2 linked regions of the Oryzias latipes genome follow. The protein of the gene in region 1 interacts with the protein of each later gene in a biochemical or structural test. Links are inferred from orthologs where the notes say so. Each region holds a gene or a part of one and is shown in the gene's direction. Other genes may lie near its edges.

Region 1 (7,557 bases):
TACTGTGACGGAGTAGACGTCACTGCTGCAGGAGAATACCTTCTTCTGTATTTACTGAGCTCCACCTCTTTCTCACTTCCATTCACACCCAGCCTGTCTGCCTGTATGACGTGAAGTGCTGCTGACACACCCACCACACATAGGAGCACTCATTCACTTCTCTAAAACATGCATGCTCTGTTTACTCGCCGTCTATAGTGTCTCTAGCTACACAAAGATATGTTTTTAACAACTGCTAGGAGTGCACACTTAGACGAAATGCACTTTCCATGGATTAGGAGCGTGCGCAAGAGCCATTATCCAACCATCATACACCTGAAAATATGAAATGATGTCATTACCAGCGGATGTATAGAAATAATGTTTGAAATGTTGCTTGGCTTCTTAAATTGTTTCTTCTATTGTTTTTGAATAATAAGTCTTATTTTTCTGCTTTTGTATAAAATGTAAATCCTTTCACTAACTGCAGACTTGTTTTGGGCACAGGGGGAGGGGCTAAATTATTTTAAAGGACTCCTTAAGCCAGGCATGTCCAGGTCCGGCCCCAGAGGCAAATGCATCACGCATTCAAAGTTCTACGGCCCACATGTGCCTGTAAAAAAATGTGGACCCCCCCCCAGCACTTTCTAAAACTGGATAGATGCTTTCTTGATTGTGATTGGCTAAATTCCGTTATTAGCAATTGTCACCGAACCTTCTATGAAACAAAGACCTAATGGCTCAATGACCACATTTGTTTCAATGTTTAAAACCACAGTGTACGTCTGAATAAGATAACTGACTTCTTTTCTTGTTAACATGATTTACGTATACATGTTTACAGTGAGCATTTAAGAAAGAAGAATATGTAGGACTTTTTTTCCATTTTATTTCTGGTCTTAAAATACAAAATTCTCAGTATTTTTGGTATAAGTGTATTCAGATGTATTTATGTTCTGTGAAGAAATGAAAAATAACCCAAACTGCAGATAAGCGCAGTGAATCTATTTTTCCTTCATTGCATGCAATCCTGTTTTGCACCCTTACACCCTTCAGGGGACAAGCACTGTAAATCATACAGGGACTGTATCATCCCTGTACCTGCAGTTGTATATTCTTACTGCACTTAAAAGAATCCCGCTACTGTTACCCATTGTTATACATTTTCTTGAATTCTAAAGACCAAACCAACTGTTGATGACTAACATCCTAGCAGAACAGGACACTTAGTCCTGTTAATTATTCCCATGGAGAAATCTGTTATAGACCCAACATATATCCCAGTTTTTACATCATTTTAAACCACTTTTTAAATCAAATCTTGTTAAAATCAATTTAAAATGTTATGGCTGACCTAAAATTGACTTCAATCAAAATCTGCAAATGTAACTTGTTTTTAGCTTTTCAAACCTTTCCTTGGCCTTTTAGGGGATTTTTTTTTAAATTAAATAGCCTACAGTTAGTTTTTCCTTTTCTCTGGAAACTGATATCTAAATGCAGAAGACCTCTCGTCTTCCAAAACAATGTCTAAAACTCGATGCTTTTTCTGAATAACTACACCAAGGTGGACATTTGCTAGATGCTGGCAGTCGTTTCGAAAATTGGAACATGTTCAAAAAGTTTACCTTAAAGACAGATTTATTTGGATGTCTTCATTTTTGAGTTTGAGGATTTTAAGATTGGAGCTAAATTGTAGTACTTTCTATAAAGTGATGCTCATGTTAGCTTACAGCAGCTCTGTCAGGATTTCACAGGAGCTCTGCACTTGAACTCCTTGTGAAGTGGAAAATGTTTCAGCCAGAAAGCCCTCTGTTCTTGTTCTTGTGGCCCTGCATGCGACACTAAAAGTATCACTTCTGTGGAGGATGACCGAGTCATGACTCACCCTCTCATTATCTATATGCTCTGCTTCCGTTGGGTCAAACTTGTGTCTAACATTGTCAATGGAATTGCACAAAGAAAAAATATGTGCTCTCAGAGCTTTAAAGACTTAGACATCATTCATGTATGCATTTGATGAGCATAACTGATGCAGATGCAATGTAAACATGCATTAGTTCATGCAGAAAGACTCCAGCTGGTTGTAAACTTTTAGATTTTGATCTCTCATCTTTTTTTAATTATTTTTTGCTGGTGACATTGATGATGTCAACGTTCTAAAAACAACTTGTGACTGTAGTTTACCTCCTATCAGAGTGGAACTGCAGTGTCTATTTTCCATCAGCAGGTGGCACCATTGTATCATTTATCTTAATTTCATGTTCATATATAATGCACCAAAGATCTTTCAGCATAAAAATAGGTGCAATCAGATGTTTTCTGCATCAATCAAAAATGTACTGCGTTGAATTAAAAAATATATTTTTGTTAGAAACAGTGGTGACCTTTTAAGACTGACTCAAATTTGAAAATATCCAGAGATCTTTAAGTCTAAGCTTTGCACATAGAGGGAACGTGGCACACCAAGCAGGCTTTTGTACCATTATCAGCCGTTTCTCACACCAGATAAGACAAAGATTTTTTGCAAATTAGATTTAGAATTTCATATGTGATCCATGGGAATGCCTTTTTAAAACTGAATTAGCTGACATCTGTTTTCTTTGGCTTCTTACTTTTGTTTCACAAATAACTTGTTAATGTTTTTAGTTTGTAATGCACAAACACTTGTGTGCATTACTCCTTTGAGAAAAGTAGACGTTTGTTGTCTGTGGAATGAAGCCCACTGTGAAGTTGTGGGCAGTGTTGGAATGTTGTGCGCTACCAGATGGACTGAAAATTCATTTTGTCCTGCATTACATTAGTGATGTTAGTGTGGCGCGTTTCCCTTCACTGTTTGAAGGCATACTTTGAAAAGGGGATCTTCCATTACATTGTGACAGACTTGATTTTTAGGGTGTAACCATGGAGACGGCACCCTCCCCTGTAGATGAATGTTTCCTTTTTTGTATTTGTGAACTCAGGTTAAGTTGTAAACTTACACAACTGACAAAAAAACCCTAAATAAAACAACAAAAAATAACGTTACATGGATTTTAAAAAAAATGAACACCTCAGAAAAGATAAGTACTTGATCTATAAAGATTTAAGCCTAAAACTAGATTTTTCTTTACTCTTTAGATTAATGTAATTAACCACAGGGGAACAAATGTTAGAATTTATAAATGTCTATTTATATAGTCATTTTTATTACACTTTTTAGCAACGTTAAAAAAAAGCATTTCATTTACCGGTAATTTGATTGTAGTTATAATAAATGGTGTAATGAGTTTGTGCTGCACAAAGAGGGTGCCATAGTTGCACAAATCTAATTTGAACAAACTCACTTTAAAAATGTCACTTTTTGATCATTGTAATAAAATAGTATTTGACCCATGTTCTTCCTTTTTATTATTATTAATTCTTTATTCATATTGTCCACCATCCCATGCTTTTCTCAGTTTTCGTACAGAAATGTTGACAAAAAAACAAATTTCCTTCATCCTGACTTCTTGCCTGCAAGTTAAGTTATTTAGATGCGTAACACAGGATAACTAACCTAACCTTCTCTGTCTTCAGATGCTTCAGGACTGTCCCAAGGCACGCAGGGAAGCGGAGCTTCACTGGAGGGCATCACCTTGTGCCAGTATTGTGCGCATCATCGATGTCTTTGAAAACCTCTATCAGGGAAGGAAGTGTCTGCTTATTGTCATGGAATGGTAAGCACAGTCCCCTGCACACACACACACACACACACACACACACACACACACAAAACCTTTTGAGGCAATCCTTATTAGCACACATCCGCAGTACTAAGAATGGAGTGACCAGATGGGAGTCTGCGTTTCAATCCAATCCGTCCTTGATGACATTCAGTTTGGAATTGAACCTTGAGTTAAAAAAGCACACTTCTAGAAAACACTTGCAAAGTTTTAAATCATTACCATTGTAGATTTATCAAGACCTTCAAATAGTTCTGATCTATATGAAGTATTTCTACTCTACTCAGGGAAATAAGGCAAGGAATTTCATCTTGTATGGTGGAGGAATTCTTCATCTTTATCATTAAAAGCTGAAACCTTCATATTAGAGAGAGATTTTTAATATTTGCATAAAATATGGCTTAAAGTCCCACTCCAATCATCTTTTGATCTATTGTGTTCCCAGTGGTGTTTGAATTATAATTATGCTGTTTTTAGCCAAAATCAAAAAGCACGTGTTGTTTTCTTGGACAAAGTTTCTGCAGAGTGGCAGTAATTCATTTGAAATCTGCCTCTGAGTTGTGGGCGGGACCGATTTCCCATAATCCCTTTGTTTACACTTTCTCCAGCTAGCTAACAGGTCATCACACCCCTGACCTAACATTAGTGGTGCCGCAAAAATGGTGAGGAATATCGAAGCATCCCCCTGTACGATTTTGAGCAAGATGCCAGCTCAAACGGGGAAAATGAAAACATTAACAGATCCATTTGTCTGCAAGTGGACGCATCGGAATGGAGCGGAGTAGGGAGGGATGGCCTGCCCACTGTAACACTTATCTCACAACTACAAGCTTTTACAAACTGCTTTTTTTTTCCGTTTGCTCCTGATTCACAACAGAAAGGTGATTTTGATTGGAGTGGGTCTTTAAAAATGCAAAGGCCAAAGTCCTTATATGGACAAGGTCACTTGTTACTCACAAATGTTGGCATGGAGCCAACCACGGTTTAGAAGCTTTAAAAAAAATCTATCAGATATGCTGGTGGGCTGTGGGAGGAAGCCAGATTACACAACCCCAAACTTATTTATTTTTTTGGACATTTTATTATTTGAGTATTTTTACGGACCTTGTCGGATGTTGTGGGAGGAAACCACAATCCTTGTGACTTTGTCACAGGTAAGCCAAATTCAACCGCTGTTTTCTGCAGCACTTGACTTGTTGGAGCAGTTTCCTGTCACTTCCTGCACAGTCTATCATTTGGTCTTTGATGTATTTCTATTGTTTTTGCTCCTTTTGAGAAGAGGAAGCTACTGATTGTGAAATCAAACCCAAGCTCATTGATGCAGTTTTTCCACGCAAAAACGACCAGAAGTCGTCCGTAAGTCAATTGGTACAAACAAGACCACAAAAAAAGAATCATAACTTGCATTTTTTTTCCATTTTCTATACTGTTTGATTCTGCGTTTTTTTTATTTAGAAAAATTACTGAATTCTCTTCACCACATATGTCAGTTTTGAGAAAAACTAAGTTGGCAATAAATAAGACTTTTCTTAACTCAACTAAATGTACATTGTGGGATTACAAAAGAAAAAAAACACTTGCTGCTATGTGCTGATAAAGAAATTACACATTACGCTAATGACCATTGGAGAATCTATTACATAAAATAAAGATTAGTTTAAAAAGTGACACACCACCCTATTCTCTATAAATTAATGAATCACCTAATGTGAAGTAATTCATTAGTTTATTTAGAACAGGGTGGTTACACTTAGTCATTTTGAGTTTTTAATCATCATTTATCATCAAATCATTGAAAAAAATATTTTCATTGAAATTTCTAGGACATAGTTTCTGCAGAGCGGCAGGAGTTCATTAGAAAGTTGTGGGTGAGACAATTGGCTCAGTGTAAACCTGCCCACACTTCCTATCATCCCTTTGTTTACATTCTCTCCTGCTAGCTTACAGCTCCTCACACCCCCAACCTAACATCACCAGTGCAACAAAAATGGCGAGCAACATTGGAGCTACCCAGCCGTACGGTTTTGATGCTCAGACGAGGAAAATGAAGACGTAAACAGTATGGATCTTTTTCTCTGCAAGCAGAACCATCGGAATGGAGCGGAGCAGGGAGCTTGTGGCCTAGCCATTGTAATGCCTACATCACAACTACAAGCTTTTTCAAACTGCATTTTTTGTTTGCTCCTGATTCACAGCGATTTGAATAAAGAAATACTCAGAAACACCATTTCAAGCTGGATTTTTCTTTATATACAGTCAGGACCAAAAATATTTGGACAGAGATGCAATCTTTCTAATTTTCTTTCTGTACATTACCACAGTGCATTTTAAATAAAACAAGGGCTGCACGGTGGCGCAGTGGTTAGTGCTCTTGCCTCACAGCAAGAAGGCCCCCGGTTTAAGTCCTGGCTGGGGGACTTGAAAAATACATCAATGGGGGACCTTTCTGTGTGGAGTTTGCATGTTCTCCCCGTGCATGCGTGGGTTTTCTCCGGGATCTCCGGCTTCCTCCCACTGTCCAAAAACATGCTTCATAGGTTAATTGGCAACTCTAAATTGTCCATAGGTGTGAGTGTGAGAGTGAATGGGTGTGTGACTGTGGACGTTCTACCCTGCGACAGACTGGCGACCTGTCCAGGGCATCCCCTGCCTACGCCCAAGTAGCCGGGATAGGCTCCGGCAGCCCCGTGACCCCGAAAGGGACAAAGCGGTACAGAAAAAAATGAAAAATTTTAAATAAAACAACTCAGATGCCATTGAAGTGCAGATTTTCAGCTTTTATTCCATGGGTTGAACAAAAAGATTGCATAAAAATGTGAAAAACTAAAGCATTTTTAAACACAATCCCTTCATTTCATGGGCTCATAAGTAATTGGACAATTGACTTCTATGCTATTGCATGGGCAGGTGTGGGCAATTCCCTTGTTATGTCATTATGAGTGAAGCAGATGAAAGGCCTAGAGCTGACTAGAGGACTCGTGCTTGCATTTAGAAGATTTTGCTGTGAACAGACAACATGTGGTCAAAGGAGCTCATGCAGGTGAAAGGAGCCATCATTAAGCTGAGAAAAAAGAAGAAAACATGCCAGAAATTGCTACAGTATTAGGAGTGGCTAAATCAACAGTGTGGTACATCCTGAGAAAGAAAGAAAGCACTGGTGAGCTCAGCAACGCAAAAAGACCTGGACATCCACGGAAGACAACAGTGGATGATCGCAGAATCATTTCCATGGGGAAGAGGAACCTATTCACAACAGCCAACCAAGTGAACAACACTCTCCAGTAGGTAGGCATAACAATATCCAAGTCTACCATAAAAAGAAGACTGCATGGGAGTAGATACAGAGTGTACACTGCAAGATGCAAGCCACTCATAAGCCTCAAGAATAGGAAGGCTAGATTGGACTTTGCTAAAAATTATCTAAAAAAGCCAGCACAGTTCTGGAAAAACGTTCTTTGGACAGATGAAACCAAAATCAACCTCTACCAGAATACTGGCAAAAGAAAAGTGTGGAGAAGGCGTGGAGAAGCTCATGATCCAAAGCACACTACATCATCAGTAAAACACGGTGGAGGCAGTATGATGGTCTGGGCGTGCATGGCTGCTAGTGGCACTGGGACATTAGTGTTTATTGATGACGTGACACAGGACTGAAGCAGCCCAATGAATTCTGAGGTGTTCAGAGACATACTGTCTGCGCAGATCCAGGTGAATGCAGCCAAACTGATTGGGCGGCGTTTCATAACACAGATGGACAACGACCCAAAACATACAGCCAAAGAAACTCAGGAGTTTATTAAAGCAAAGAAGTGGAATATTCTTGAATGGCCAAGTCAGTCACCTGATCTTAACCCAACTGAGCAGCATTTCACTTATT
Region 2 (8,209 bases), on another chromosome or scaffold:
CCCAGCGTGAGATGAAGGGCAGTGGACGGGCATGTTGGAGCGATTCGTGGGAACAACATCAGCAAGAGCAGTTGGTGGTTCACCACTAACAGAGCTGTGGCTTCTCTTATGGACAATTAATTGCTGCAAGTTCTTGTTTTCTCTCTTTCTACCATCTTTCCCTCCCCCTCAAACTCTCCTCCATGAGGTTAGTTTCACCCTGAGAGATGACCACAGCGCTCCCACATGAACTCTGCCTTCCACCAGACATGAAAGGATGCCATCGTGGTGCGCTTGGCCGTCAAAGCTTACACAGACAAGAACCAGATCACACAGACAAGCCGGGATGTTGGAGATGGAGGAATGAGGCGCATGCAGTTTGAGTGTGAACACAGGCTCAAACAGGCAGGAAATCAAACTCTGCTCAGACTTGGCTGTCCTTGACCGGTGATTGCTCAACTCGATGTGCTGTCCTGTCACTGTTTCGAAAGATGTGCTCAGACAAACAGGAAGTAATGGAAAAGTTTATGGAGTTTATGGGACTCATAACAACACAGATTAAAGAGAATACTTTATTCAAACTCTACTTCAAAACAGCTGAGAGGAGGATTTTTCACTTTTAAAGAGTAAATTTTTGATTTATTTTCTTTGTGATTAAAAGTTCTTGCATGTTTCTGAAACATGTCAAATCACTCAAGTAACATTTAAAAATAAAAATTCTCATTTTTTGCAACATATTAAGAAAAGTAGGTGTTTAAAAAACATGTAGAAATGTCTCACCAAAAACTTGAGTTGGTGTATGCTTGTTACACAACATATACCAGAAAAGTATATCAACTTTAAGTATAGTTGTGCTAAAAACAAACATTAACTTCCTTTTAAAAAATAAAGGATTGAGAATGGGGAAGAACTCCGCCCTCTACTGGCCTAAATGTAGCACTGCAGCAGATTTTAATAATCCCCCAGCAAGCATTTGTGTTTTCTCCCCCTGACTTCTTTCATCTCCTGTTGAGTTAGATAAAAATTAAACATCCTGTCATCCCCCCTAAATGTTATCTGTGACCTCAAGCTCCAACCCCATCCTCCCTTCTGAAGAGTCTGTGTGTGTGTTGGAGTGGGGAGGGGAGCAGAAAAGTCAGAAATCTAAACCACTCAGAAAAAAAACGGAGTTCAGCCTTGACCCCAGGCTGCACAAACGCTTGGAAATCAACTTTACAGAGGGAGAACTGCATGCTGTCAACAGCAGGGGAATGGGACCAATAAAAACACAAGGTTTTAAAGAACTTTTGGGTGTCGTACAACATTTCCAAATATGTATGAACAAACAAAGGGACTGAAAACGTCGACCTTTCGGGAGGAAACTTTCCCTAACTTCCATCTTTTGAACTATGCTTCACAGTGGCGTCACAAAGAATTGTCACTTCAAGCAGATTTACTGAGGAAGTCCACAGATGCTCTTTCCTGCAATCACAACCTCAGCAGAGCAACAAGTCACGGGGCAAACTGTCGCAACACACTGTGTCAAAGTTATGTCAGCAGTCGTTCAGGAGGTTAACTGCTTGCATGTGAAAAGCAAGCGTGCATCTGACTTCATCCCTTAAGAGAACAAACTAGCTTTTTTTTTTTTCATTTATATTTTCATTCAGGCAGGAAACAGGTGCCTCTTCCTGAGCCTAGAGAAACATCTGAGTCGAACAAAATTGAGCACAGAAACACATTTGCAAGAGGAAAAGACAACGTTCAAGCCTGAGCAGCAGCTCCACTCCAGTCGTAAAAGCGGCCACAGTGGGCTTTTGATTATGATTATGCCATTTTTAGCCCAAATAAATAATGTGCAATTTTTAGGAAATCGTTTCTGCAGAGCAGCAGGAGTTCATTAGAAATTTGCCTCTGAGTGTAGGTGGGTGGGACCAACAGTGAGCCCGCCCCTACTTTCCGTCATCAATCTGTTTACACTCCTGTGTTTCGAGGCAGATGCCAGCTCGTACATGGAAAACGTACATGGATCCAGTCGTCTACAAGCGGATGCATCAGAATAGAGCTTGGAGCTTCTGACTTACCGTTGTAGGTTTTATGTCACACATACAAGCTTTTTCCAACTGCATTTTTTTTGTCTGCTCCTAAATGTGTCCTCCATCATGAGAAAAATGCTACAAGAACATGTTAAAAACGTCCAAAACACGATTATGATTGGAGAGGGTTTTAACCCTTGTGCTATCTTAGATGACCCCACCCTTACATTGACGTGTTCTCCCTACCATGACAAAGGTGGATAAAGGTGGAAAGATTTCATGTAATCCATGGACACCAGTGAAGATCACAAATCATTGAAGAAAGAAGTTTTAACGCACTGTCTAGTGGGTCTAGATGACCCAACTCCCCAATGTTAAAGTGCCTAGGATAGCACAAGGGTTACATGGTAGTGAAATATCCTACTGGCAGGAGAATGTAACTGCAGAAAATGCACACAGAGTATTATAAAAACATACTATTGCACATTAGAAATAGGGTGATTTTTGTAGTAATAAAGGTTCCAGAAAGCTCCCAAGTGTTTGTGTTCCCTGGGAAATAAAGACTACTCCCCCTCTCCCCCTGCTGTATTTATTCCTCAAACACTCTATCAGATCCTCAGATGATCCATCTGATCAATCAGTTACCAGGCCTTTGAACTGCAGACGTGATTTCTAGCAAGTGTGTCATCCCGGCCTGTCGTCTGTGAAAACACTGCAGGGGGAGATGGCTCCACAAGGCCCGGCTTGTTGTAAAACTCAAACACGCCCTGCCTGCCTGCCTGCCCGCCTCCCTGCCTGCAAAAGCAGCTGAAAACCAAAAAGGTTTCATCTACTTTTCTTGCTGCATTAGTTGGACTCTCCTTTCTTTGCAAAAACAAGCTTCCCTGCCTCCTCCAGGGAGACAAAGCTCTCCCCCCACCACCTCCTCCTGCTTGGCTCCTGGATAGGCAAAAAGGAGGAAGGGGAAAGGGAATGTTCTGCCTCCTCTATCCCCACCAGCCTCATTCACCTCCCTGGGGCAGTGCTGTGTAGTAATAAACGTCCACCATAAATCTCCTCCTCATCCCCTCCTCCAACTTTTTTTTTTTTTTTTTTTGTTAACAACACGCTCCCCCAACTTTTCTTTTCTTTTTTTTTCTTTTTTGCCGCCTCCTGTGTTCTGAGGCAAACTCTGCCTGCTGCACTCTCATGGATTTTCAAAGGTCTGTCATGGATTTGCAGCTTGTGAGATTTTATATCACACGCTAGGGCTGCAAAAAAAAAAAAAAAAAGAAAAGAAACTGTGGAAAAAAAAGGGAAGACCAGGAATAAAAACAAGTCAGTAATGGTTATTTAACTGCAGCAGGGAAGGAGTTAAAACTGCTTAAACACATGGAAAGTCCCACAAGAGTTCAGCAATTAGGAGTAAATTAATTACAGAGGAGCAGATCCTGGATCAAATCCTGTGCTTCCTGGTAAACAACCTCAGAAAAGAAAAGAAAAACAGGAGGAAAGTCTTCAGACTTCAATGTTCTCTCTTTCTTTGAGAGAAATCCAGAATCTGAGCTCTGTTAAAGGTTTGATTCCTTTACATGAAAACCTGTTGAATATCCACTAACACAGCGGAGAGGGAGGGGGGTAAAAAAAAAAAGTTTCTGAAAGTTGACGCCCTAAAGAGAGCTGCAGGCTCCTCCTGCTTGAGATTATAAAAGCAAATGTGAGCCGGAGACGCGCAGAGGGGGAGTCTGCGAAAAACACACGGGAGCAGCGAACCAGAGGCTCTGCGCAGCTGCGTAACTTTCCAAACAACAGTCGTTTGGGCTTTTTTTTTTTTTTTCTTCGCATATTACCTTTTTGAATTGATCTGTGCAGCCATGACCACAGCTGTGGTTTCTCCCTTCTTCGACTTCGAAGTAATGAACAAGGTAGCTGGGAAACTTTAAAAGTTTTCTTCTCTTCCTCTTCTTTCTTGCTGGTTAGCCTGTTAGCCGCTGTGGAGGAATGAGGAGCCGCCATTTTTGCGGACTCCGATTCCCTTTCCTACGTGTGTTTGGCTTTAATCTTCCTTTTTCCCCCGTTCTAATTCTGTCCGTTTACGTTCTCCTCTCCATAATGTGTGATAAGTAAAATGCCTCGCGGGCTTTTAGCTAGAGCTAGCATGAGTTTGAATCAGCTTTTCAACATGTGCCACATCAGCTAACTTTTTGAAGGCCGTAAAACAAAAGTTAAAGTCGTAAAGTTAAAGTCTCACGCGGGGTTTTGTGCTTTGCTAATAATTGACCACGCTGGCCTGGCTATAGCCCCTGGAAAGCATTTAACGTGATCGGGTTAACCTGGATGTTTGCTTAGCGGGGACCTGTTTACGCGTGGGTTTTTGCTGCTTTTCTTTTTTTTTTTTTTTTGCATACACGCCACGGATCGTTTATTTCACCGCCGCCGTTTTCCCGCTCTGCCCCCCCTGATCTGTTGCATTTATGTAAATCGGCTAACCGGTGATCTCCGCTGGTTTTGCACGTGCTTTGTAACGCAGATCAGGTTCCTCTTGTCATGCAGCAGAGAATGCTTTCATTAACTTTCAAATGATGCAATGGCCCCTGCAGCACAGAGCTCTGGTGTGCTGCTTCTCCTTTTTACTGAGCAGGCGCACATTCCTAACCGAGGCAACCTGCCAAACCAGCTGCTGGCCTATCGACCTGCATCCGAGCTTCTAACCTGCAGCTTCTGCATTCATGTTTTTCTCTAATGCAGCGTTGTTTATTCTTGCAGAACAACAAGCTGATGAGCTACAACAACAACCTGAGTCTCCCCCACCCCATGTCTGTCCCTTGCACTGGCACCAACGTGCCCCTCTCCAGTCCCACCGGGGTCCTGCTGGACAGGAAGGCGGTGGGATCTCCCTCGGTGGGAAGCGTGTACCAGCGGCGGCACTCTGTCAGCAGCACAAAGTTCAACCAGAACCAGTTTCTGAACAGCCTGAAGGCAGCGGACCACTCCTCGCTCATCTCAGGGGTTGGCAACGCCAGCAGCAACAAGGAGAACCGCCTGCGAGACCGCTCCTTCTCAGAGACGGGGGAAAGGCTCATCAACAAGTGCCCTGCCAGCCCCACCTGCGGGGGCAGCCAGGTCAACTCCAGCCGTTACAAGACAGAGCTCTGCAGGCCCTTCGAGGAGAACGGCTCCTGCAAGTACGGTGACAAATGCCAGTTTGCCCACGGCATCCACGAACTCCGCAGCCTGAGCCGCCATCCCAAATACAAGACAGAGCTCTGCCGCACCTTTCACACCATCGGGTTCTGCCCCTACGGGCCTCGCTGCCATTTCATCCACAATGCAGAGGAGCGCCGTGGACCCCCACAGCAGTCCTCCCCCCTAAACTCTTCCAACAAGATGGAAAGGCCTCGCCTGCAGCACAGCTACAGCTTCGCCGGTTTCTCCAGCTCAGCCGGCCTGCGGGACAGCCCCACCTCCGTCACCCCGCCGCCCATCTTCTTCCCCGATGAGGTCCCAGACTGGCCCAGCAGCAACCCCTTCACCTATTCCAGCCAGGAGCTGGCCAGCCTGTTTGGACCCAGCCTCAGCACCGGTGCTGTGGAGTCCAACACCCCTGCTCCTCCTTCCCCCACAAGCAGATCCTTCTTCATCAGATCCATGTCCCCTCAGATGTTCGAGTCTCCATCCAGCCCCCCAGACTCCCTGTCAGACCAGGAAGGCTATCAGAGCAGCTCCGGGGGGAGCCTGAGCGGCTCGGAGTCCCCAACCCTCGACACCACACGCCGCCTTCCCATCTTCAGCCGCCTCTCCATCTCTGATGACTAGACCCCCCCCCCCCCCCCCCCTACACCTGGCAAGTCGCCTTTATCGCAGAAAACATGGCACTCCCCTCTACCTCTGCCCCCTCCCCATGAAGCTTCTCTGGCCTGCTTTACTCAAACTCTGGGTAATCATTTAAGGGAACTTTCTTAACTCCAGTTGTCATTTCACCCCCCCCCCCCCAATTCCTTTATTCTGCACATCAGCCCTCACAGATGATGCGGCCGGCGTGTCGTGGTGCCAAACCCGGAGAGAGAGCCGAACAATGAAAATCATGAACAACCGTTGACTGTTTTCCCAGGTGCCACTTGTCCCTTCTTTTTTCTGTTGTGTGCCCCCCCCCCACCAATTCTTGAATGTGTAGCAGCACAAGTGGCCTTGGGAAGGGGGGGGTGCATTGCACCAGACCCCCCCCCCCCCTCCTCCTTTACCCACCCTCAAATCCTGAGCTAGCTAGTTGGTGCTCACTAATGTAGCTCTACGGCAGACGTTTTTACAGACTGAGCTGAGATATATAATAAAAAACAAAAAAAAAAAATAACAGACCCTGAAAATATATGAATAGGTTTTAAAAAAAAAAAATAGTTAAAAAGTGCCTGGGGCGGTTTTCTGCATGTTTAGGGTGAATGGACTACTGCTTTTTTTTTTTTTTCTTTCCCTCACTTGCCCCTCCTCTTCCTTTAAAGCCCTTATGTAATTGAACTGGCTGAGTACAAGAAGGACTTTAAACTGGAGGTTGGTTGTGCCCCCCACCCCCATGTTGCTGGTCACTGGCTTTTTCTCTTACTTGGGAAGGAAGTCTTCATCAACCCTAAACATTCAACCTTCTCCACATTCGCCTTCGATCCGGGAAGTTCAGCATTCCCATGATGCCGTTTGCATCCAAAAGTGTCGACAAGATCGGATCTCCAAGCTATTTTACTTTACCCCCCCTCGCTCAGAGGAGCTCTCTGTATTCATTACATCCCTTTTGCTTTCATTATTTTCTAATTATTTTTTATTAAGGTTATTATTTGAAAAAAAAAAAAAACTTTCCAGACAGAAGGTTTGTGTGTCACTGCTTATTTAACTTATCAGAACATATTTATTGGTGATCATATGCATTTTTTTTGTTAATTTTTGTTTTTTGTATTTATCTGGATAATGAACAATAGAATATATTTTCTTTTATGTTAAATTATGATCTTCCATAATAATCTAAAGATTGTGAAGACGGTTTTTTGTCAGCTTTCTTTTTTTTTTCTCTTTTTTTCACAGTTTAATATATTGTACTTCAATGACTTGTTCTGCAACTACACTTTTGTCAAATGAAACTATTTAAAGATGGAAAAAAAGTGGTTTTGCGTTTCTTTTTAATATTTATTGTACTTTATTTTTCTTTACTCCTCATCGGACTGCAATTCCACCTTTTTTGTTTTTTTTATTAGATTTGCTCGATCGATTCCCATGACCTTAAAGTGATCCGATAGCGACAGTTGCTCACTGTTATGACGTTAATTTAACCAAGTTCCCCGTTTGGAGGTTGTTTTTGTTTTGTTTTAAGGGGTGCCAAATTAAGAAAAAGAAATCCAGTGGTTTGAGGACAGTCCAGTGAGTTGGAGGACTGGTTATGTTCAGATGTTAGTCCGTTATTACAAGCAATAGCTTTGACCAAATGGGTTGAGGAAAGTATAAATTTTCTTTTAATTTGATTGGATGCTTGATGCGCTTGCTTGCCCCCCCCCCCCCATGTGCCTCTTAACCAGTGGAAGTGCCTCATCGAATACATTCCAGGTAGCTAAGGCACTTTTGCCTTTTTATATTGATAATGGAGGACAGTTTTTATGTCGCTTGTTCCTTGTTGCCCTCTGTGGTTTTTTTGGAGGAGGTGAACAGTCTGACACAAAGAAAGTAAAACTGTTGAATGTATTTTTTTTGTTTTGTTCCAGCCATGTGTTTTCACTACAGTAATTTCTTATGGAAAACCTTTTTTTTTTTTCTTTTGTAAGTATTGATTGCAGTTAAGTCAATAAACCCCGTATTTTTGAAAAAGTTAAACCTGTTTCTGGAGTTTCTGTGACAAGCGATGCACAACGTGTACTTTTAAGTTAGACATTCAAATGACCTGCTATAAAAAAACGTAATATCTAAACTTATTCTTTTTCTCTGGAGCTCAGATTTACGGTAGTGAATCAGTTAATGGGCAAAATTAATGTTTGATTCTTGTTTGGGGGGGCATCTTTTGTTGGAATATCATCACAGAAGTGGCCCTTTTATTTTATTTTTATTTTTTTTGATGAGCTGAAGGGAGTTTCACTGAGATAGAAGTTGATTGGTGAGCTACTCTGGGTCATTGACCTAAGAATAATCAAATTTGGTTACACAAAGCCCAAAATATTGATCAGTGGATGCTGTAACCGTGCAGATTCCTAGAATAAAAGTGAGTAAAA

The links.
Region 2: of the proteins of mapkapk2 (region 1) and zfp36l1, one has a biochemical effect on the other in vitro, tested with the Homo sapiens proteins (2 studies listed by BioGRID). The link is inferred for Oryzias latipes from reciprocal best matches to the Homo sapiens genes MAPKAPK2 and ZFP36L1.

The regions. Positions count from the first base shown.
Region 1 is NC_019863.2:27,964,703-27,972,259, reverse strand, and holds part of mapkapk2 (MAP kinase-activated protein kinase 2), read left to right. Parts: intron 1-3,534; coding exon 3,535-3,674; intron 3,675-7,557. UniProt on the Homo sapiens protein: Stress-activated serine/threonine-protein kinase involved in cytokine production, endocytosis, reorganization of the cytoskeleton, cell migration, cell cycle control, chromatin remodeling, DNA damage response and transcriptional regulation.
Region 2 is NC_019880.2:4,538,872-4,547,080, forward strand, and holds zfp36l1 (mRNA decay activator protein ZFP36L1), read left to right. Parts: upstream 1-3,685; 5' UTR 3,686-3,844; coding exon 3,845-3,895; intron 3,896-4,736; coding exon 4,737-5,786; 3' UTR 5,787-7,817; downstream 7,818-8,209. UniProt on the Homo sapiens protein: Zinc-finger RNA-binding protein that destabilizes several cytoplasmic AU-rich element (ARE)-containing mRNA transcripts by promoting their poly(A) tail removal or deadenylation, and hence provide a mechanism for attenuating protein synthesis.